5 linked regions of the Daphnia pulex genome follow. The protein of the gene in region 2 purifies or fractionates together with the protein of the main gene of each other region. This does not show direct contact. Links are inferred from orthologs where the notes say so. Each region holds a gene or a part of one and is shown on either strand. Other genes may lie near its edges. The genes, in order: mortality factor 4-like protein 1, lysine-specific demethylase lid-like, GATA zinc finger domain-containing protein 1-like, PHD finger protein 12-like and protein kinase C-binding protein 1-like.

Region 1 (3,841 bases), on a different chromosome or scaffold from region 2:
ACCAAAGTGTGTGTGGTTCGTGTTGGAGTTTTGGAACTGTAGGAACTCTTGAAGGAGCCCTCTTCCTCAAAACGGGTAAACTGACTCCACTCTCACAACAGGTAAATTAACATCAAATATTTTGTTTCAATGAAATTAATGATGGGAATATGTTTGTTTTAGGCTCTTGTTGATTGCAGTTGGGGTTTTGGCAATAACGGTTGCGACGGTATGTTATTTCATTTGAATATATTTTCACTTTTTCTTCTAAAGTTGTTCTTTGTTTTAAATTTTACCATTTCTTCGCATAATTGTTCGTCAATTAAAGGTGGTGAAGATTTCCGAGTATACCAGTGGATGATGAAGCACGGAGGTATTCCTTCAGAGGAGAGTTATGGACCTTACTTGGGTGCTGATGGTTATTGCCATGTAGACAATGCGACTCTCGTAGCCTCCATTAAAGGCTATGTTAATGTAACATCAGGAGACGTCGATGCGTTGCGTGTTGCCATCTTTAAGTATGGCCCAATCTCCGTTGCTATCGGTAATAAAACGCGGAGGAGTTGTAGTGAAGTCAGGTGGTAATAATTTTCTTTATCGAAACTATTAAAATAGATGCTGCGCATCGTGCATTTTCTTTTTACGCCAACGGAGTTTACTACAATCCTGAATGCGGTAATAATTTTTAAAATCTCGTAATAATATCATGCAATTACCTTTTCTAAAAGAATACTTTCTTTCTTTGAAATCTGTGGCACCATCACACTCATCCTTGAATTACTTTTTTAAACTGTAGGCAGCGGAGAAGACAGCTTGGACCACGCTGTTTTAGCTGTAGGGTATGGAATTCTAAAAGGCGAGCCATACTGGTTGGTAAAAAATTCGTGGTCGACTTATTGGGGAAATTCTGGGTATGTTTTGATGTCACAAAAAGAAAATAATTGTGGCGTCGCGACTTCACCTACTTATGTGATCATGTGAGATTCCAAACATTAAATTTTGTGTTTGCTCCCATCATGAGTAGAAATCTATAGAAAAGCTTGGGAAAAAACAGTAAACATGGATCTCTACGTCTGAGTTTGAATAAAATTGATTGTGGCTATCAAATATTTGTCAGCTGCTATTAAAAAAAAAAAATGTGCTTCGATTTTTTTTTCTTTTTAAAAATTGCATTTTGGCGTTCTGACGTTCTTTTAATGAAACGTGCACCAACGCTAGGTCACGTGACGTAGCAACTAGCAAGTTGTAGCGTCTGCTTTGAACAAAAATGGGTCCCAAAGCTCAACAGAAGCCAGCAACAGAATTCAAATTTAAAGAAGGTTTGTTTTATTAGTCAAATATATCTTTGGATAACTAAATTTAAACGATTAAACAAAATAATAGGGGAACGAGTTCTTTGTTTTCACGGTCCGCTTTTATATGAAGCCAAAAGCCTCAAAGCAGAATTCAAGGATCAACAGAACAAATACTTGATACATTATGCTGGCTGGAATAAAAAGTAAAATCAAAGTGAAATTTATATTGATGAAACTTCCATAACATTTTCCTCTGCTGTTTATACAGTTGGGATGAGTGGGTGCCTGAAAACCGTGTGCTGAAGTACAATGACCAAGCTCTTCAAAAACAGAAAGAACTCCTCAAAGCTCATGAAGCTACATCGTAACTATTGACTTTCATCAACGACTAAGGCTGATTGATCATCTTATTTGGTTTTTCAATTTCTTTGGAACAGGAAAGGAAAGAAACAAATCAAAGGTGTTTCTACCCCTGTTGGCAAACCTCCAGGCCGAAGATCAGAATCATCTAAAGGTGGAGGCAACCTGTCAGATGCTAATACATCAGGCAAAGAAACAGATAGTAGATCTTCTACACCATCACTTCAAGGTACCTTGTCAAAAGTGGTACACATGATGCCATTGTCAGACTATTTGTCTTTCCTTGAAATCAGTCAAGATCAGTGTTACGAAAAATAACATAAAAATTGCTTATATTCCAACAGAAAAACCCACCAAAAGACCTGCCACAGCCTCTACGACAACAACACCTTCTACCACCACTGCTGGTACAGCATCATCTTCTGAAAGCTCAAGAAAGAAGACCAGACCTGACTCTACTGTTGAATCAGTGAGATTTCACATACACTTTCTAAATCTTTTCAACAATGTAGCATTAAAAAACCATTTACTTATAGGAAGAACAGTTTTTATCCAAGGTTGAAGTGAAAATAAAGATTCCAGATGAGTTGAAACCCTGGCTTGTTGATGACTGGGACTATATTAACCGCCAGAAAAAAGTACGTGATTTGAAACGTTAAAGATATTATCTTTCCAGCAATATTTCACTGAGTCACCAAAAACTCATTTCATCCAATTACGCAACAGTTGGCGAACTTACCATCCAAAGTGCCCGTTGACACCATTCTAGAAGATTACATCAAGCACAAAAGCAGCAACCGGACGACCACCCCAAGCAAGTATGTCGCAATTCCGCTGTTACTGCTAGCAAAATGAATACCAATAGCATACATACATTGTGTGTATTTGCTAAACCAAGTGGAGAAACTTTTTTTTTATTTATTTCTTTCCTTTAATTCCTCCATTTTTAGAGAGAGTGCCATTCAGGAGGTCATGGCCGGCTTGAAAGAATATTTCAATGTAACGCTCGGTTCTTCGTTGCTGTATAAATTTGAGAGATTACAATATGCTGATGTAAGTCATGAAGTGAAATTCACAGTGATATACTATACGTTCATACGTTGATTCTTTATATGGCTATAGATTTTGAAGAATCACCCTGACAAAATGATGAGCCAAATTTATGGAGCCCCCCATCTTTTACGCATGTTCAGTAAGTTTCAATTGATTTCAAACCACCATTTAACATATTTAAAATAAACATTATCGTACAGCCCGGCTAGGAAGTATGCTGGCGTATACCCCACTTGATGAAAAGTCGATCCAACTGCTCCACGTTCACCTCCAAGATTTTTTAAAGTAAGTCTGAAAACGAAAGAAACATTTTATTTAAAGACGTTGATTTACATCGGCAGCTGTGATCACGACAGATACATGGGACGCAACGCTTCGACGCTGTTCAGTGCTCAGGATTATGGCAACGCATCGGCTGAATATCACCGCCGCGCTTGCTGAAATACCACGTCAGTGTATCTTTTTTCATTTTTTTTTCGTCGGAAATATTTTTTTCTTTCCAATGTCTCACACATATAAACGAGCCGATTTGAAATCTGGTAAACTTTAAAAATAAAGAAAGAAAAAAGTTTTTTTTTTTAAGCCTCATGTGTAACACAGTGACTTGCCATCGTGTAAACGTAATACATTCAATTGTTACGCGGTTTTTTTTACGGTTCTGCGAATTCTACCGATGACGCCAATCTCTTTGACCCAGCTGGTCTGTTTTTAGACAAGCAATTAATTGTCCTGTTTGTCGGATAGGGAGTCGAGAACAATCGTCGTGTATTATTTCCTTCATTGGGCTCGACATCCGCTCGGAATGGAGTGTGTGTCTAGAGATTTTCGGCTAGATTTTGGTAGTGATCCTCTCTCAAATTGGCATAGACAAAACTCGTGTGTGCAGTGAAAGTGGGCTTTTGAGATGGGAACAACACATCGTCACGGTCCAACTATGTGTACCCCGTCTTCCTCGCTCAGTATTTACTATCTGCTGGTCATTTAAACCCAAACATTGAAATGATAGCCGAGCTGTTCGTGACCGAGAAGAGAAAACAAAACGCTCGTGAGATGAGTGTGTCGTGTAGATTTTTGGGTCTTTGCGTCTATCTTTTTTCATTTTTCGGTGACTGGGCGGATGCAGCGAAGACGAGGGTGATAATACCCTCATCCAC
Region 2 (4,310 bases):
TGGTTGAAAGTGAAAAGGGGTTGCGAAAAAATCTCCTGGCTTGGGGAGTTAAGGTCTGACAAATTAATGGTTAGCAATCTATTGATGAAGGTAAAGATGGATCTTTTTTTTTTACAGGATTCGGAAAGAGAAGCATTCGAACTATTGCCAGATGACGAGCGCCAATGCGATCATTGTAAAACAACCTGTTTCCTATCGGCGTTGACATGTAGCTGCGTCGAAGACAAACTTGTCTGTCTGAGGCACATTAAACTTTTGTGCGAGTGCCCGCCCCAGAAGCACACGCTTCGCTACCGTTACACGATGGACGAGTTGCAAGGTCTTCTCCTGAAAATCCAAGGAAAAGTAGACAGTTTTAATAGCTGGGCTGCGAAATTACGTGAAGCTTTAAAAGGACAAGAAGACGATAGAGTTGGTAAGTTAAACTTGCTAGCATTTGGTTTGTAACGCGTCTTCAAATAATTTTAAACTTTTCAGAACTAGCGGTTTTAAAAGCTCTGCTGTCGGATGCGGATGAACAGAAATTCCCCGGCACCGAATTAGTATTGTCACTTCGGGAAGCAGTGGAAAGTGCAGAAAAATGCACTATGGTGGCCCAACAGCTTATGAGTAGCAAAGTGCGTACGCGTACTCGACTCCAGGGAGAGGCAAAATGTCGTCTAACTCTAGAGGAGTTACAGTTGTTTGTTCAACAACTTAAAAAACTTCCTTGCAAGCTACCCGAATCCGAAGCCATTTGTGGTATAAGCACAAACTGTTTATCTAATTTCCATCCTGAAACTTTGCTCAAATTTTTCCCTCTGTTTTATGCAGAACTTTTCAAAAATGTTTCCGAGTTTCAAAAAGAAGTTAGGCTTCTTCTTGAACCCATCGATGAAAACCAATCTATTCCAGACCTCGAAGTTTTGCAAAAGAGTCTCGAACGTGGAGCTACTTTTGGAATCGATCTACCTGAAATTGGCCGCTTGAAACTGGTAAGTTTGATCGTCCTACTAGCATTAACTTTCATATTCTCTATAAGAACTGTTTACAATTTTGCTTCTTTGCTTTTTATTTATCTATCATTCTGATTGGAATATTGAACGGTAAGGGTTACGATTTTCAAAATGCAGTCTTGTTTTATCGATTTATTTATGAGTTACTTAATTGATCATTTGGGAATGTTTACAGCGAATTCAGCAGGCTGAATGGATCGAAAAGTACCGTGATTTACTCGGGACAAATCCAATTTGGGATCCCGAAGTCATTCCTTCCGCTGATCGCGATGCTACTGAAGAAGACGAAGCAGAAGAGGTTTCTCTAGACTCTTTGCGTGAGCTGCTCGAACTTGGCGTCGGTCTACCTCCTCATCCGGTGTTGGAAAAATCTCTAGCAAAGCTACAAGGATTGCTCGAAATGTCAGAAAAGATCGAAGATAAGGCGAACATTTTTTTGCAGGCAAAGTATGAATTAGGAAAATTTTAATTAATTCCTTTTCGAATTCTTATGTTATTGATTTTTGTGTCTAAATCTAGGCCTAGGCTACCACTTTCTTCTGCTGATATGATCATCAAAGAAGTGGCTTTATTGCCAACTTACCTGCCTTCGGTCGCTGCCTTAAAGGAAGCTGCTAAGAAAGCTCGTGACTGGAACAGCCGTCTAGAGGTTTTACAGAAGTTGGAGTACAGCCCTTATCTTGAGGCGCTTGAAAGCTTGATGTCCAAAGCCAAACCGATTGCGATAAGACTGGATTCGCTCGACGAACTCGAAAATCAGATCGCCGCCGCTCACGCTTGGCGCGAAAGAACTGCTAAAACATTTTTACGAAAGAACTCATATTATTCCCTGATCGAAGTCCTTTCCCCGAAACTCGACGTATTAGGTATGGATTTTTTCAGAATCATTGAATACTTTTTCTGTTTTACTAAGGCAATTTTCAAAATTAGTTGCTTCACGTTTCCGACGCCGTCGACCCAAAGAAGATCCCTTCAACCCAATCAACGTTACTCACGTAATCACCCTCGAGGCAGAGAAGAAGGAAGATCCTCGACTGATCGTTGAAGCTTTCAAAGAGAGTGAAAACAACGAATTAACTAGCTTCAAGCGTATCCGAGTTCAAAACATTCAAGTAAATATCCTAATTCACTTTGACATTATCGTAAACTAATTTTATGTTTTGCCTTTTAGAAAAAAGTACATGATGATCAGGGCCTTGCTCATTACTGTATTTGCCAAGGCAAAGCCCAGGGAGGCATGATCGAATGCGCACTCTGCAAAGAATGGTTCCATCTTTCGTGTTTAAGGGGAGCGAAGCAACAAGGTCCAGGGGCCAAAAACAAGACAAATGGTGAAGGCAATGCGATTAGCGGAATCAAAGATGGCCGTTACCTCTGTGGCTATTGTTGTCGTTCGAGACGGCCTCGTCTAGAAACGATCCTCTCGTTGCTGGTGTCTTTACAAAAACTTCCTGTTCGATTACCCGAGGGTGAAGCTCTTCAGTGTCTCACCGAGAGGGCCATGAACTGGCAGGTGTGTTATTACATTGTTATAATCATCACTTCAAAAATGTAACCCGAATTTGTATTCTTGTTTTACTCAGGATCGAGCTCGTCAGCTGCTATCTACTGAAGAGTTAACAGCATGTCTGTCTCAATTATCTACCATGTTGCAACGTGCTACTGACGCTACTTCTCGGAAGAAAATGGATGGTAAGACTGGATCAAATGAGCTTCAAAAATTGTCGGTGAGCGGAGAGCACCGCGATTTCTTCAGTGGCAGCGAAGAGTCACAGGACAGCGAATGTACGGCTAGAGACAGTATTCCAGAAGTTGTCGAACAACCTCCAGCGCTTAGCAACTCAGAGCATGCGTATTCTTCTTTTTCCAGAGGTAAAAACACGTCGAACAATCGACAAGATAATTTTACGTTTTTAACTAAATTTTGTTGTAATTTGGAAAAATCAGATGGCTCAGGTTGTATGACTTCTAACAAGAAGAATGTACGCAAATCTCCGTTAGTTCCTCGACAGCTAAACTCTTCCGTGTGGACTTCGCCATCAAACAATTCATCATCATGTTCACAGAATGTTCCTCTCATAACTCTGTCCTCTCAAACTGCTGCGAAACTCGAAGATCTCATCCTCGAGGGTGATTCACTCGAAGTGTCGCTCGACGAAACGATCCATATAGGAAGGATTCTTCAGGTATTAGAATTCTTCCCAAAGTAATTCAACAGTTGTGTGACATAATTTGTTTTCATTCTTCACAGGCTATCAAGGCTCCCTCAGAACCTCCTGTGATGGCTCTTCTGTACTCCAAAGATGAAGAACAGGATTGTGAATCCAATGGAGATTCCTTCAGCAAAAAGAAAATGCAAGGCAAGAAGAGAAAGTTGGATCCGCCAGGGGATAAACAGACGCCAAGAGTAAGTCGTCGGATGTTGACAAATTCGTTTGTGAGTGTTATTTTAATATTTTCTCTTTTGTTTTAAGGGTCCCAAAGGCAACAAGAACTCGAAAACGATGAAAGGAAATAAGAAACCAAGAATGATGAAGAAATCGGATGGGAAGAAAAGGCAATCAAACAATGAAAGTGAAAACGACGAAGATTGTGCGGCCGATCAATGCCTGAAGGTATTTCTGAAAATTGTGCGCTTTCGTTCAGTAGAATTAATGTTTTGTTTTTAACATAGCCTGCAGGTAAGGAAGTCATTTGGGTGCAATGTGATGGAGGCTGTGAAATGTGGTTCCATTTGAGGTATTACTATTTTTATTTGGTTCTTATTGGTGGCTAAGGATCTACAAGTGTTGTTTTATTTTCCAGATGTGTCGGATTACAAGCAAGAGACGTCAAGGCCAATGAAGATTATATTTGTCGACGATGTGCTGTTAAAAACCCTCCTGCAGGCGATGATGACATTGACAAGGATGAGCAAAATTAGGACAAAACTAACCGCCGCATTATCTTTTCACTCCTTGTCACATTCTTCACTCTGACGTGGTATGATTTATACATAACCCCAGAACGCATACAAAATCTCCAACTGACCAATGTTGTATAAATGTCCATCGAGAAAAAGTATCATTCAAATCTTTTCACTATTATATTTTGGCCGAGGCTTGCTTTAAAAATTAATTAATCACGATTCCGCCGGGATTCCGATTTCGTCCGCAAATAAGTATTTCGTTTTATTTTGTCTGTATCCTTATCTGATCAATGTCAGCGTAGCGACAATTTAAGTATATTGTGTTTAGTCGAGAAATTCAGTAAATATACTACCGTCATTAAGAAATTTCTCATTTTTTCAGTTGCTCATTTCGTTTTTAAGCTCAG
Region 3 (3,110 bases), about 2.3 Mb from region 2:
AATGGATGTATTTGACGAACCTACTATACGATTTCGAATTTGTTATAGTTCTTTTAAACTTTTTTAAGGTTTTGAATTAAAACTCAAATTAAAATAACAAATTCCCGCTGGTGATTTCAAGTTATAATTGTCTATTAGTTCGAATGACGCTAGTATTATGAATGAATAAAAACCCATACAACTTATACAAGTTTGAAAAACTCATTAACATTATCGATATTATTTTTAAATATCATTATATTTTAAATGAACTGTTTATTACCACTATAATCGAAACATTTTTACCGGTAGACTAGAAAATATTTCAGCTCAAAATTTCAGCACAAAATAATTTCTAAAAACATTGTTACCCGCAAGGCAAGCCGTAATGCAGGAATGGTCAAGTATTATTTTTAAGAAAGCCGTGCAAGCAGGTAAAAAAATCTTCTATAATTTCCGACATGTAATTTTCGAAAATATCTTACTAAAATTGTGAAAACTCTTAAAAATTTAGAAAAGAACACTTAAAACAGATCAAACAATTTAATTTACTCTTCCTCCGAATTTCAGTGAGGTAGCAGAACATGTGACAAATATTTTTAGTTACAAACTTCAGAAATGATGGAATTGTTTTACAAACGAATCTGTAATGGCATTAAAAGACACAAAGAACAAAAGAGCCGGCTGCCTTGGTCTTTCTATTCTACTATAAACGGATGATCCTGGTGGAATTTTTCATGAATGAATAGTTCTTCGTACGGCACCCATACTTGTCCAAATATAGCCAGCTTCTTTTTCACTAGACACTCGAACATTTTCATCCAGTTTGTAATATTCGTTCGGCGCATGCATTACGAAATCAAGATAATCCAGCTTACGTGGCAATTCTTCTTCAGGACCTAAACCAAGACTGTTTTAATGCTGTACAGAAAAAAAAATATAAAATTCACATACCTAAAATATATGTCTGTGGATCAAATCCCACATCTGGGGGTGGTGAACTTTGAGTTGGGATGAGCCAAGTTAATACAGCACTTTTTTCACAAAATTGGTCTTGCAGAAGCCCACGAATTTGTGCATAATAAACTCCATCATCTTCATCTGTGACTGAAACTATGTCCCCCACTTGATAATAAATGTCATGATGAAACAAATGCCCACTAGTAAAAGAGGTAGAAGCAACAGTGGGGGCTTTAGATGGTAGCTAAAATTTAAAAAGGAATAATTTATAAAAAGTTATTGGAAAAATCTATTTAATTTTTCTATCAAATTTATGGATTTGTTTAACCTGTTTCTTGAAAACAGCTCTTCTTCCACGTCCTTTGCCAACTGTTGCTTTATTGGCAGTTCCTAGTTTCTTGCTTCTTCCACGTGTCTTTTTTGTTCCTGTGCGTCCACCTCTACTGTTTGAAGTTGTGTTTCCTGACCTGGTCCCTGGGCCAAATTCATTACGTGGCTTTATATCATCCACAAGTTCATCCACAACAACATCATCCACTTCAATAGTTTCATTATAAGCATCTTCTTCTTGAAATTTTATTTCTGGTGAAGGCGCCTTTTCTATAACAATAGATTCTGTTTTCACGGTTGTTGTCAATTTCCCTTGAAAGCATTCGCTGCAAACTGTATTTCCTTCGTTGTTTTTTTGCCATATCTCTGATATATTGATATCGCATTTAAAACAAACAGGTTTTATTCCAAATGGCATGGTTAAGGTTAATAACAAAATCTATTACTTGAAATAGCACTAGCACCGAAAACGAGTCTCCCAAAAATTGTTTCACTTTTTATTTACAAAGCAGAAGACTTTTACTTAAGTTGTGGACAACAATCTACAACATTGCAATTTCTAACTTGTGTAATTTTATATAAAAATAGTTTAAACATTGAATGCAAAATTAAATTTTTAAATAAAAATTGGGTGTGATGAATCAAAGTCTTAGTAAAATTTAAATTTACCATCGATTGGATGGTAAATCACTACTAGAGAACTAGACGCTAGCTGGCGCTCAAAATGAATTTTCCGTTTGTAAACAAAACCATTCTTCTGCTAGATATTTGTATTTTGGACTCCCCGAATCATATTTTGTAAATCCCCCAAATTTGATCTGTGATAGACATTTTGAACGATTCATGTTGGGTGAGAATGAAATGTGTTAACATTTTTTTTCCTACATTTAAATCAATTTTATATGATTTTATTAGGAAATAGTGAAGGCCTCATTTTCATAGAGCAGTATGCCAGCAAGGTGACATACTACACTTCACAGTATGGAAGTATAAATGGAGTGTCTTACACAGCCAACAATTTAATCGGTCCTCCTTCTCGATATCCGGCATATGGAGATTTTCCTGAAACCTACGTCCCGGTACTTTTTTATTAAAATTATTAGTGCAAGTGTGAAATAAAAAGCATATTCTGAAGACTATGTAGAGGAAGGTCTATTTAAAAAAAAAAACATTTGTTCTTCAGAGAACATATGGGCCATGGTGGAAAGAAACATTAGTAATTTCACCTTCTAAAGGAAAAACTGAAGTTCTCATAACAGGACAGGATTTTGTTGGTAATTCATTCATTTTACAATTAGGGACTTTTTTGACATACTTTAAATGTAGATATCCTGTTTCAAAAACCTGTCTATCCATACTGTGTAAATGTATATGAAACATATAACTCTGGTTGTGTGAGACGACTGTGGGCTGGTGATGGCCAAGGAAATTGGAAATTGTTTCATGAAAATCATATGAAAAAGTCTCTGAAGCATTCACAGATATTTTCTGCTGAACCTCATCATCTACAGTTTCTGACTAGGTAGAACTGAGTGTTTAGCTTCTTTTTTCAGCAAAATTCCTATTTTATATTTCTTTAGCATTATTAGAGTTGAAATAGACAGCAGTTTGGCCGATTATTATCCAGAGATCGATGCTGTTCTTCTGGTTGGAACAGAAACCTATCCTCCGTTTGAAGAATCGCTTAAACTTTGTGTCACAGGATTATCTACGAAAATTATTGGATTGGGGCTCCATCGTTTAGTGCCAGGCTTCAATGCAATCGAAAGTATACAACGGCTCTGTTTTAAGTACCAAGTCCCAGCGCAATCCTCAACTATTTGCCATCTCAGTAAATTACC
Region 4 (4,247 bases), on a different chromosome or scaffold from region 2:
CACCGAACGTAGACAAGTTCAAATCCATGTCAGCACCTAACGCACAGAAATGTTTTAAAGAATAAAACCGATAATTCAACTATAGTTATGGAAGGGCAAATAATACCAGTGCCAATAGTAAGTCGGCGATAGTAGATGGGTGCTGGTGGATAAGCTGAGCTAAGAGGGCAGAGGAATGCTCTAGGCTGTCGTGGGAAGACATTCGTCTGGGCTTGACTACTGTCTATTGAATCGATAAGAGGGGAAGATAGAAAGTTGTTGATCCATTCGAGACTGTAATTCGTACAGATAATGTTACCACTGTCGGAAGCACTGCTGGCCTGAAGCCAAGGTTGTGGAATGACTGTAGACTGAGTGCTGCAACCAGAAGACATCATTCCAGGAAGAGGGAACACAGTCAACGAGCGAGATTCTGGGTTCAGGATTAGCTGCTGCACTCTTTGCATGGCAAGAGCTCTCACTGTTTCTTGATCCATTGCCCTTAGCAAATCATCTAGAAAATAAAAAGTTAAAAAAGTCATAATCCCGTTCTATTGCGGAGGAAAAAGTATTGAAAATTACTCGATAGCTGCTCCATAAAGACTTTCAAGTGACTCTCTTTCATGCCCCGCCTCAGGGTTCCCAAATAACTTTTGACATCTGCTTCGATATCTTGAAACTCTTCAGCAAACAAACCATCCCAAGAAGAGCTGAACATAAAAGACATTTCTGAATATTGAATAATCTGATGCGTTTTTAATTTGTGAACCACTCACGAGCTCGATCCTTCCACAGACTCTTTATCTCTCCGTTCAGGTAACGCAGTATCAAATTTTCCGACAGTCTCGCCTTCGTTTGAAAACATTGCTTCGCAGTCTGCTGCTATTTGCTGAGCATCCTCCTGAAGTCGTGATTGTTCTCTATCTTTGTTTTCCTCGTCTATTAATTCATTTTTATCGAATGATTTCAAATTCTGGAATTCGACGAAATGGTTAACAAATTAAAAGGGGAAGTCCAGATTTTGAAAGGAAAATGGACATACCTTCCGTGTTTCTGGGAGAACGGACGACCAGTAAAATGGTTGAGCTCCATTTAAACGCGCCGGAAGTAACGGTGGATGTTTGTACTGGTCCTTGATGATTTGTGGGACCTGCAAAATGCTTCGTTAGTTATTTTCGAAGATAAGAGTAGCATCTCTAACACTTACCCTCATACGAGGACGACCAGGTAGTGCGACCTTCCGACGAAAAGGCGGATTTTTTCGGTTTACTTTGCGGAGGAAATTGATTTTTACAGTTTCATGGTCAATGGGTCTCTGTAAGAACGACCAAAACTTCACTCGTTCGGAAAGTCGTGAATCAGGCAACAATTTATATTCCTAGTGATAAAGAATTCAACATTTCTGTGAGATAAACGGAAAATTCCTTTAAAAGGCAAAATATTACAATATTTTGAGGGTGATTGGGGCACATCCACTTGCCAACTGGCATGCAAACAAGGGGAGGATCCAGACAATCCAGATGGAAAACCAGGGGGCAAAAGTCACAGGCAACCATTGGCGCCTTGCGGCAACTCCTAAGAATTCGAAAGATGAATTTGATGATGTAACTATATTGAAACAGAAACCTGATTCAATCATACTTGCTGCAGTAGAAGCACGCTCGTAACGGTAATGGCACGAGCCCGTTATCAAGTTCGTGTGATTTTTTTTTGGGGCCAGATCCGGTTTTTTTCGAAATACACAATTTACTGGTACCTAGAAAATGGCAAGTTAATTAACTTGTTAATCAATTTTATCTAATATTGGTTTTAGCTTACCTGGAAAAGGAATAGGTTCTACAAGTTCTGGTGGGAGTTCGAATTGCTGTGGGTTCATAGATGCTGCTACTCTGATGAGAGGGGCAAAAAATGAGACTTTGCCCATATTATCAACAATGACGTCTTCTCTATCACTGGACTTTTCTGAACTAACTCCAGTGGTTTCTACATCAACATCATCCGAGTTGTTTGTTCGACGGCGACCAGATATTCTTTCAGGGGCTCCCTGACCACTGCCTACTGATTGAGTTGCTGAGTTATAAGGTCTTTTTCCAGTTTTACTGGAATCAGAGTCTGCTCCGTCATCCACCTCTATGAAATTTGTAAGAGGATTTGCAGCATCTTGGGCCTGAAAACAAATGTTTTGTTGGTCAATTGTTTTCTTTTAACTCTACACAAGTTTAAAATTACCTTTTTCATACGACAACTGTGACAGTTCCACAAACCTTTGGGTAAATCCGACTCCTCTAATGGAGGATCACTGAAACAGTGAAAACAGAATAATGTAAATATTAGAAATAAATTTGAATTGATGGTATTATTTTACTGGCATTGTAGGTGAAAAGATGCTGGGCAAGAGTCACAGCAAATGAGTTCACCTCCCTCTTTACAAGCATCACAACTATCGCGATTATGACCTCGTCCTGGTCGTCTGTAGTAGGGATGCAACGCCAATCCGTCTTTTCTCTTTTCTTTTGAAATATCTTCCAACAAAGGTGGTGCTAGTAGAGCTTGAATTTGCTGCATAAACAAAACACCGATCTTAGTCGACATCCATAAATGAGCATACAGCCGATTAAAGAGTGAACTTACTGGCATTAATCCACCCGATAGATCGAGATCATATTGAGAATTGGCCATTGCGTACAAGAAAATGTAATTATAATCTCACTAAATCCTAATGTTTCTATGCGAGCATCTTCTAAAGATGAAAACGACAGCAAGAATCAAGAAACAACAAAACTTTAAGTGTCGATTTGACTCGATGCTAAACAACATCTTTCAATCTGAGTTCCAAGAACCTAGCGGCAGCCAACAGAAGCTCAACATGCGAACCGGCGTTCCGTTTAAAAATCGAAATTTGCGGGCAAATGATCAGCCGAAGGCGACGACTTAAAAAATAATTGACAGTCGTTAGGCCTATTCTGTGTCATTTCAGAATTCAGATTTTAGTCATGAGTTATGTGTCGATTTTTAGATTTGACATCTCAAAGCTACTCGTGCCGTACAGTTATACAGTCACCGGCAGCCACAAGGCTCTAATTGTAAAGAAATGGCGAATTCATTGAAGTGTCTCATCCAGTATTTAGAACAAACTATTTCACCAGGTAATAAACAATGCAACTTAATATCTTTTCATTGTTGATATCACAATCTTACATTGCATATTACTTGTCTGCGGGGCTTTTTTGCAAAGTTTCTTGACTCAACATGTTACGACACTCCTACATATCATATTGCAGCTATAATATCACTTTCATTTTAAATCTTAAATTAATAAAGATGTATCATTTTCAGACAAGAATGTATTGGCCGAAACCCAATTGGCGTTGGAAAAGTATGCTCAGGATGATATGGTTAGTTTCAATAAAACAAATCTCAGTTTATTAGTACACCACATAATTATCTGTTACTGTTCTTTGTATTTTCATACTTATAGGGTCAATTTATTTCAAATATGTCAGTTGTAATTGCTGATCCAAACAACTCACCTATTGCTCGTCAAGCTGCTGGTCTCCAACTGAAAAACTGTTTGACTGTTAAAGATGTGACCCTGAAGAAAGAGTGTCTACAGAGATGGTCAAAACTTGAAGAAGAAACTCGCATGGCCGTGGTTGAGCGTTTGATTTCGACCTTGGGAACAGAAAACATTCATCCAAGTTGTGCCGCCCAATGTTTGGCTTACATTGCGGTAGCTGAAAGTCTCTTCCCGGGAACACTACAGCCTTCTTCTGAGATAACTTCTCTGGAGGATTTGCTTTCTGAGCTTTGCGACGTGGTCGTTCAACCAGCAAATGAACATCGAAAAGAGGCAGCCTTAGAGGCCATCGCCTTCATTTGTCAAGAAATTGTGAGTTAACTGGTTAATAACACATTTTTGAATGCTCTTAATGTTATTTGTCTTAGCACGTGCTCATTTTGGTCAACTCTTACACGTCAATCCTCCATTCCATACTATTTTGTATGGAGGACAGCAAATCAACTACAAGAATTCGTCTGGCAGCTGCTCGAGCTCTACTGAGTTCTCTGGAATGCATTTACCCGACATTTGACACTGAGGTATTGGGCTCAATTGCTTTTGTATTTTGTTTTTGAAAATTTTTGATACAAAATATTGAATTATTTATAAATAGGAAGGTCGAGATGCGATCATGCAAGTTGTCTGCGACGGCACACAATCGTCTAGCGTTGAAGAATCTCTGATTTGGCTACAAGTATTGGTAAAGATT
Region 5 (4,249 bases), on a different chromosome or scaffold from region 2:
ATAAGTTGTTGTAATTGCTCGTCCTCCTTATTTGGGTTGTAAGCCGTACGTGGCGAGGGGTAAGCGAAAGAACCGTAGCGCTCAACAAGCTTTTTGATGTGTTGGTCAACTTCTTCAACTGAAGCAATCAAATTTGCTTTGCGCTGATTTTTTAACTGCATAGGCATTTCGCGGCTGCAAACAAACAAACATTGACATTAATTTTTTTTTGCAAAAAGATAAACCTTGTTCTTGTTTTACCTGTACAAAAAACAATCTTTGGCGGGCACCCAAGCTCGATCGTGTGCACCGAAAAAGCGCACGTCCACATTGCCTTCTTTATTTGCTTTCATCGCTTTAGCCGGCCAATGAGGAAACCCCTGGGGAAAACAACAAATCATTAAATAATTTTTGTTTTGCTCATTGGACGTGCCTATCAAGCCACTTAAAACACTTAAAACTAGATTTGTGAGAATGACTTGAGATGAAATTTACTTTGAGTTTGGCCCAGAGCAGTAAATGAGGCCTTTGACACGGTTCCAGGAACCAGGTTTCTCGTTTGGTGTGAGCATGCACATAGCAATCGGCACAAGTATCAATCTCAGCCATTTCATGTTTACACACCTGCAATTGGGAAATTTGATTTGGTTAAGATTTTGAAATAAATCATATTAAACCTTAAAATACCTTCATCAACGTTCTTGCCGTGCTAGTCAATTTTGAGTGAGACGAATTAAAGATTATGCAATTGTGCAAGATCCAGCGGAAATCAGCCAGGAAAGCTCTAGTGGAAGTGTAAGATCTTTGAACAATCTTCTCCTCCAGCTGGCTGATATCCACCGGACTAACAATATACTCGGTGTAGTGCGGGAATTCTTCCGTGTCAACAGGTTTAAAGAAAGGTTGCGCGTCAGCCACCGACTTGATTCGCTCCATAGCGAAGTTGAGCATTTCAGTTAACTGGTCCATCTCGAGATGGTTATGTTTTTCGGCATTGCGAACAGAGCAACATTCCGTACATGTCCAATCAGTCGGAATTGGGGACTGAAGTTGAACGCATCGTTGATGAAACACACGCGGGCACTGTCTGCATTCCAATACCTAATCAGAAACTTCATTTTAATCCATCACAGAAACGTTGGGACTTTTTTCTCATTACCTGGCCATCCATATGACACACCCAGCAAAAAGTGTCATGGCGCGTAAATGTCTTGCTTTGCAATTCCATGAAATGGCTACCAACTTTGGTCGATGGGGTACTTGCTGTTGATGGAGTGCTTGTTATTGATCTAAAGTTTGCAAAAGTGCTACAGTTAGTTACAAATGCTTCGTAACGCCAGCTTCATTTTTTAGTTACTTTTTGTTTCTTTTCTCTTGAATTGGAGAACTATGAGGAGAATGCACGGCATCTGTCCCTCCTGTATCCTCCCATTTGCGCTTTGTGGCTTGTGTTTCCACTTTAACCTGTTCAACTTCGCTAGTTGCACTTCGAACATACGAGTCCATAGAGCTTTTGACAGCAATTTGGTATTTATGCATGAAAGACCTGTAAGAGAAATGGATCTCCAATATATGGCTTTAAAAAACAAGTTCAGATTTCCTTACTTTTGCTTTGCGATTATGTCAGGATTGATCTGTGATCGCGTGGTACGTCCTGCGGAAAGTGACACGTCGTTTGGAGATGGGCTGATGGGTAATTTAGTCCTGCTGGATCTTCTTAGAGCTGCTGATGGAGTTCCTTGCAGTTTAATGCTAGATGCAAAATTTAAAAAGAATTTTTTGAAATTGTTGCCATGTGGAACCCTTGAGAAGGAATAATGTATAGACTTAATTTTTGTATTTACTTTTGGTTTTGGTCTCCTTTGTCAGTAAGACTCTGTAAATCATCTTCTAACTGTTCATTTTCAACTACACCTGAGAGACTGTCCACATTCTTGCCTTCCTGCTTCATTATTGAACCATGGCTAAGAATGAGTCCTGGAGGTGCTTCCTCATCTGATGTTTCTCCAGTAGTACCATCATCCTTTGTAGCTGTTTGAATCCCAGCACCATCTGAGTCTAAAAGTTCTGGCATTTCTTCATCCTCTTCATCCACATCTTCATCTACGTCTTCATCTTCATCCTCCTCAGAATCTTCAGCTATAAAAAGACTTTGTACTTCATCATCATCAATCTGGCTCTGTTCATCACCATTTAGTTGGGGAGTGCCATCCCTAGGTGAAAGAGTGTCGAAGTTTTCACATGCAGTGGCCACATTATCTGCAGGCTCACTGTTTTCACTGTTCAGTTTTCTGGACATTAAACCAACATCCTCCATGACTCTATCACTGGAAGGTTCATTGATGACATCAGCAGTCGCAGCGTTATCCATTCCGGGCAGGCAGCACAGTTTTTCCCTTGTCCCCTTGATATCTGCAATTAGTGATTCCAAATAAATATGTTATTGCGAAACGGAAAATGAACGTAGAATTTAGCAAGCATACCACTGAGGACTGACCTTCCTGTGCTTCGTAGAAACACCGCTAGAGCAGGCGGAATCCGGAGAGGATTTTTCAATCAAACAAGCTCCGCCCACAGGCTATCTATATTTCGGTCCAGTGATGATGCTACAAACAAGAAGAATGTTACAAATTAAAAAGCATCATCAATAATGGTGTCGTGAAAACAAACCCACTCTATAAAAAGGTGTCACGAATCTTGAACCACTTCAGAAGCATGCGATATATTTCAGCTCAGGGTTTCGCCAGAATTATTTTACACACACACACACACACACAGTCACACACACAAGACACACCGGCGGTGTATATAGCAAACAACGTTGTCAATTGGGGATATGAAAAATATTTTTTTTTTCTGCTTTTCACGACACCAATGTTTACGTTTTTACGCTCACTTGGTATGAAGTGAAACGATAATTCACTGTCAGGATGAAAATAATTTCCAAAATACTGTAAATTTTAAGCGAATGCTGTATTTTTAACCTCATTTAGTCTTTATCGATCAATTGCGCGCGCAACTCGTTTCTGAAATCGTCCAGCTGGAGATTGTGACAGGTGAAGAAATCCTTACAATACAAGGTTTGTGGAAAATTATTAGGTTTCATTAAACCGATTTATGGATTGTCTCTTTCTGAAGGCTGAGCTGTGAAAATGGAGTTTGCACATCTCATCAAGTCACCAAGGGTAGAAAAGGTTTTGGTCCACCGCCCACTTCACAAATCTGTTGAAGGGGTGCTATGTATAACTGGGCACCACCTCATTTTCTCTGCTGGAGGAGAAAATCCTGATGAATTTTGGGTATACCAATTTTATTAAGTTTTTTGTAAATTACCTTCACATTGTTTTTTTTTTCATTTTTACAGCTGATTCATAGAATCATAGATTTAGTGGAAAGAAAACCCAACACACCTCCAGCTGCAGGAGGCACTCTTACACTCAAGTGCAAAGATTTTTCTGTTATCAGTTTTGATTTCAATAATACAGAAGAACTGATGAATGTTTCAGCTTCATTGGAGTGCTTATCATCCATAGGTATTTATTACAGATCGGTGCTTATAAGCCTACATCTTCTAAAACCACCTGCTAATAGATCATAATTTTTTTACCACAGAGAATCAGTCTCTTTATTATCCTTTCTTCTATCAGCCAGTTTACACTGCAATAGAAGATGGTTGGACAGCATTTAGGCCAGAAACTGAATTTTCCAAACTAGTCATGCAACAACAGGAAGACTGGAGGATTTCTTATGTCAATAAGGATTATTCAATCTGCTCGTCTTATCCATCTGCTGTTGTAGTTCCCAAGTCGGTCGATGATGACGTCTTAATAGCTGCTGCATCGTTTCGAGTTGGAGGGAGATTTCCAGTTCTCTCATACAGGCATGAAGGAGGAGTAAGTTGCCATTTAATCATAAATATGCTGCAATATTTTTATTTCTTTTTCTTTTTATTCAGGCTGTGATGATGAGAAGTAGTCAGCCTCATTCGGGACCAAATGTTAAGCGTTGTCGTGAGGATGAAAAACTTCTTAACAGTGTGTTGAAACCAGGGATGCGGGGTTACATTATTGATACCCGCCACCAGAGCACAACACCGACCCCCAAAGTATAATATCATTCTTTCAATCTAAAAATCTTGTCTAAATATCTAAAATTTCGTTCCAAAGTCTAAAGGTTCAGGTGGTTTTGAGACCGAATCTCACTACCCTCAATGGCGTCGCATTCATAAACCCATTGAAAGACTGCAGTCTTTACTTGAATCGCTATCCAA

Evidence for each region.
Region 1: the proteins of lysine-specific demethylase lid-like (region 2) and mortality factor 4-like protein 1 purify together in Homo sapiens (affinity purification with mass spectrometry; 5 studies listed by BioGRID and IntAct, counting the BioPlex papers as one, with this or other methods). This does not show direct contact. The link is inferred for Daphnia pulex from reciprocal best matches to the Homo sapiens genes KDM5A and MORF4L1.
Region 3: the proteins of lysine-specific demethylase lid-like (region 2) and GATA zinc finger domain-containing protein 1-like purify together in Homo sapiens (affinity purification with mass spectrometry; 6 studies listed by BioGRID and IntAct, with this or other methods). This does not show direct contact. The link is inferred for Daphnia pulex from reciprocal best matches to the Homo sapiens genes KDM5A and GATAD1.
Region 4: the proteins of lysine-specific demethylase lid-like (region 2) and PHD finger protein 12-like purify together in Homo sapiens (affinity purification with mass spectrometry; 3 studies listed by BioGRID and IntAct, with this or other methods). This does not show direct contact. The link is inferred for Daphnia pulex from reciprocal best matches to the Homo sapiens genes KDM5A and PHF12.
Region 5: the proteins of lysine-specific demethylase lid-like (region 2) and protein kinase C-binding protein 1-like purify together in Homo sapiens (affinity purification with mass spectrometry; 3 studies listed by BioGRID and IntAct, with this or other methods). This does not show direct contact. The link is inferred for Daphnia pulex from reciprocal best matches to the Homo sapiens genes KDM5A and ZMYND8.

What each region holds. Positions count from the first base shown.
Region 1 is NC_060018.1:5,689,442-5,693,282, forward strand, and holds mortality factor 4-like protein 1, read left to right. Parts: upstream 1-1,154; 5' UTR 1,155-1,246; coding exon 1,247-1,298; intron 1,299-1,362; coding exon 1,363-1,477; intron 1,478-1,542; coding exon 1,543-1,638; intron 1,639-1,711; coding exon 1,712-1,863; intron 1,864-1,978; coding exon 1,979-2,103; intron 2,104-2,170; coding exon 2,171-2,272; intron 2,273-2,360; coding exon 2,361-2,452; intron 2,453-2,584; coding exon 2,585-2,687; intron 2,688-2,756; coding exon 2,757-2,826; intron 2,827-2,887; coding exon 2,888-2,972; intron 2,973-3,043; coding exon 3,044-3,128; 3' UTR 3,129-3,331; downstream 3,332-3,841. Other genes in the region: digestive cysteine proteinase 1-like, read left to right, coding at 1-101, 163-208, 308-523, 595-654, 776-960. UniProt on the Homo sapiens protein: Component of the NuA4 histone acetyltransferase (HAT) complex which is involved in transcriptional activation of select genes principally by acetylation of nucleosomal histones H4 and H2A.
Region 2 is NC_060026.1:13,806,930-13,811,239, reverse strand, and holds the end of lysine-specific demethylase lid-like, read left to right. Parts: coding exon 1-53; intron 54-117; coding exon 118-415; intron 416-477; coding exon 478-741; intron 742-813; coding exon 814-974; intron 975-1,170; coding exon 1,171-1,442; intron 1,443-1,514; coding exon 1,515-1,861; intron 1,862-1,925; coding exon 1,926-2,107; intron 2,108-2,166; coding exon 2,167-2,508; intron 2,509-2,578; coding exon 2,579-2,867; intron 2,868-2,942; coding exon 2,943-3,181; intron 3,182-3,246; coding exon 3,247-3,402; intron 3,403-3,469; coding exon 3,470-3,610; intron 3,611-3,669; coding exon 3,670-3,734; intron 3,735-3,800; coding exon 3,801-3,918; 3' UTR 3,919-4,269; downstream 4,270-4,310. UniProt on the Homo sapiens protein: Histone demethylase that specifically demethylates 'Lys-4' of histone H3, thereby playing a central role in histone code. Does not demethylate histone H3 'Lys-9', H3 'Lys-27', H3 'Lys-36', H3 'Lys-79' or H4 'Lys-20'.
Region 3 is NC_060026.1:11,475,880-11,478,989, reverse strand, and holds GATA zinc finger domain-containing protein 1-like, read right to left. Parts: upstream 1,805-3,110; 5' UTR 1,688-1,804; coding exon 1,268-1,687; intron 1,184-1,267; coding exon 934-1,183; intron 879-933; coding exon 715-878; 3' UTR 504-714; downstream 1-503. Other genes in the region: F-box/LRR-repeat protein 4-like, read left to right, coding at 2,113-2,119, 2,185-2,348, 2,414-2,543, 2,596-2,791, 2,850-3,110. UniProt on the Homo sapiens protein: Component of some chromatin complex recruited to chromatin sites methylated 'Lys-4' of histone H3 (H3K4me), with a preference for trimethylated form (H3K4me3).
Region 4 is NC_060017.1:4,333,151-4,337,397, forward strand, and holds the start of PHD finger protein 12-like, read right to left. Parts: upstream 2,808-4,247; 5' UTR 2,659-2,807; coding exon 2,611-2,658; intron 2,539-2,610; coding exon 2,345-2,538; intron 2,279-2,344; coding exon 2,209-2,278; intron 2,147-2,208; coding exon 1,798-2,146; intron 1,736-1,797; coding exon 1,621-1,735; intron 1,555-1,620; coding exon 1,425-1,554; intron 1,358-1,424; coding exon 1,187-1,357; intron 1,130-1,186; coding exon 1,022-1,129; intron 953-1,021; coding exon 756-952; intron 690-755; coding exon 562-689; intron 494-561; coding exon 287-493; intron 224-286; coding exon 107-223; intron 37-106; coding exon 1-36. Other genes in the region: importin subunit beta-1-like, read left to right, coding at 3,071-3,125, 3,316-3,374, 3,458-3,868, 3,925-4,077, 4,152-4,247.
Region 5 is NC_060028.1:7,382,732-7,386,980, reverse strand, and holds the start of protein kinase C-binding protein 1-like, read right to left. Parts: upstream 2,806-4,249; 5' UTR 2,654-2,805; intron 2,586-2,653; 5' UTR 2,463-2,585; intron 2,392-2,462; 5' UTR 2,351-2,391; coding exon 1,824-2,350; intron 1,732-1,823; coding exon 1,585-1,731; intron 1,526-1,584; coding exon 1,337-1,525; intron 1,269-1,336; coding exon 1,139-1,268; intron 1,081-1,138; coding exon 667-1,080; intron 604-666; coding exon 475-603; intron 360-474; coding exon 241-359; intron 175-240; coding exon 1-174. Other genes in the region: myotubularin-related protein 9-like, read left to right, coding at 3,132-3,278, 3,344-3,512, 3,592-3,872, 3,935-4,084, 4,146-4,249. UniProt on the Homo sapiens protein: Chromatin reader that recognizes dual histone modifications such as histone H3.1 dimethylated at 'Lys-36' and histone H4 acetylated at 'Lys-16' (H3.1K36me2-H4K16ac) and histone H3 methylated at 'Lys-4' and histone H4 acetylated at 'Lys-14' (H3K4me1-H3K14ac).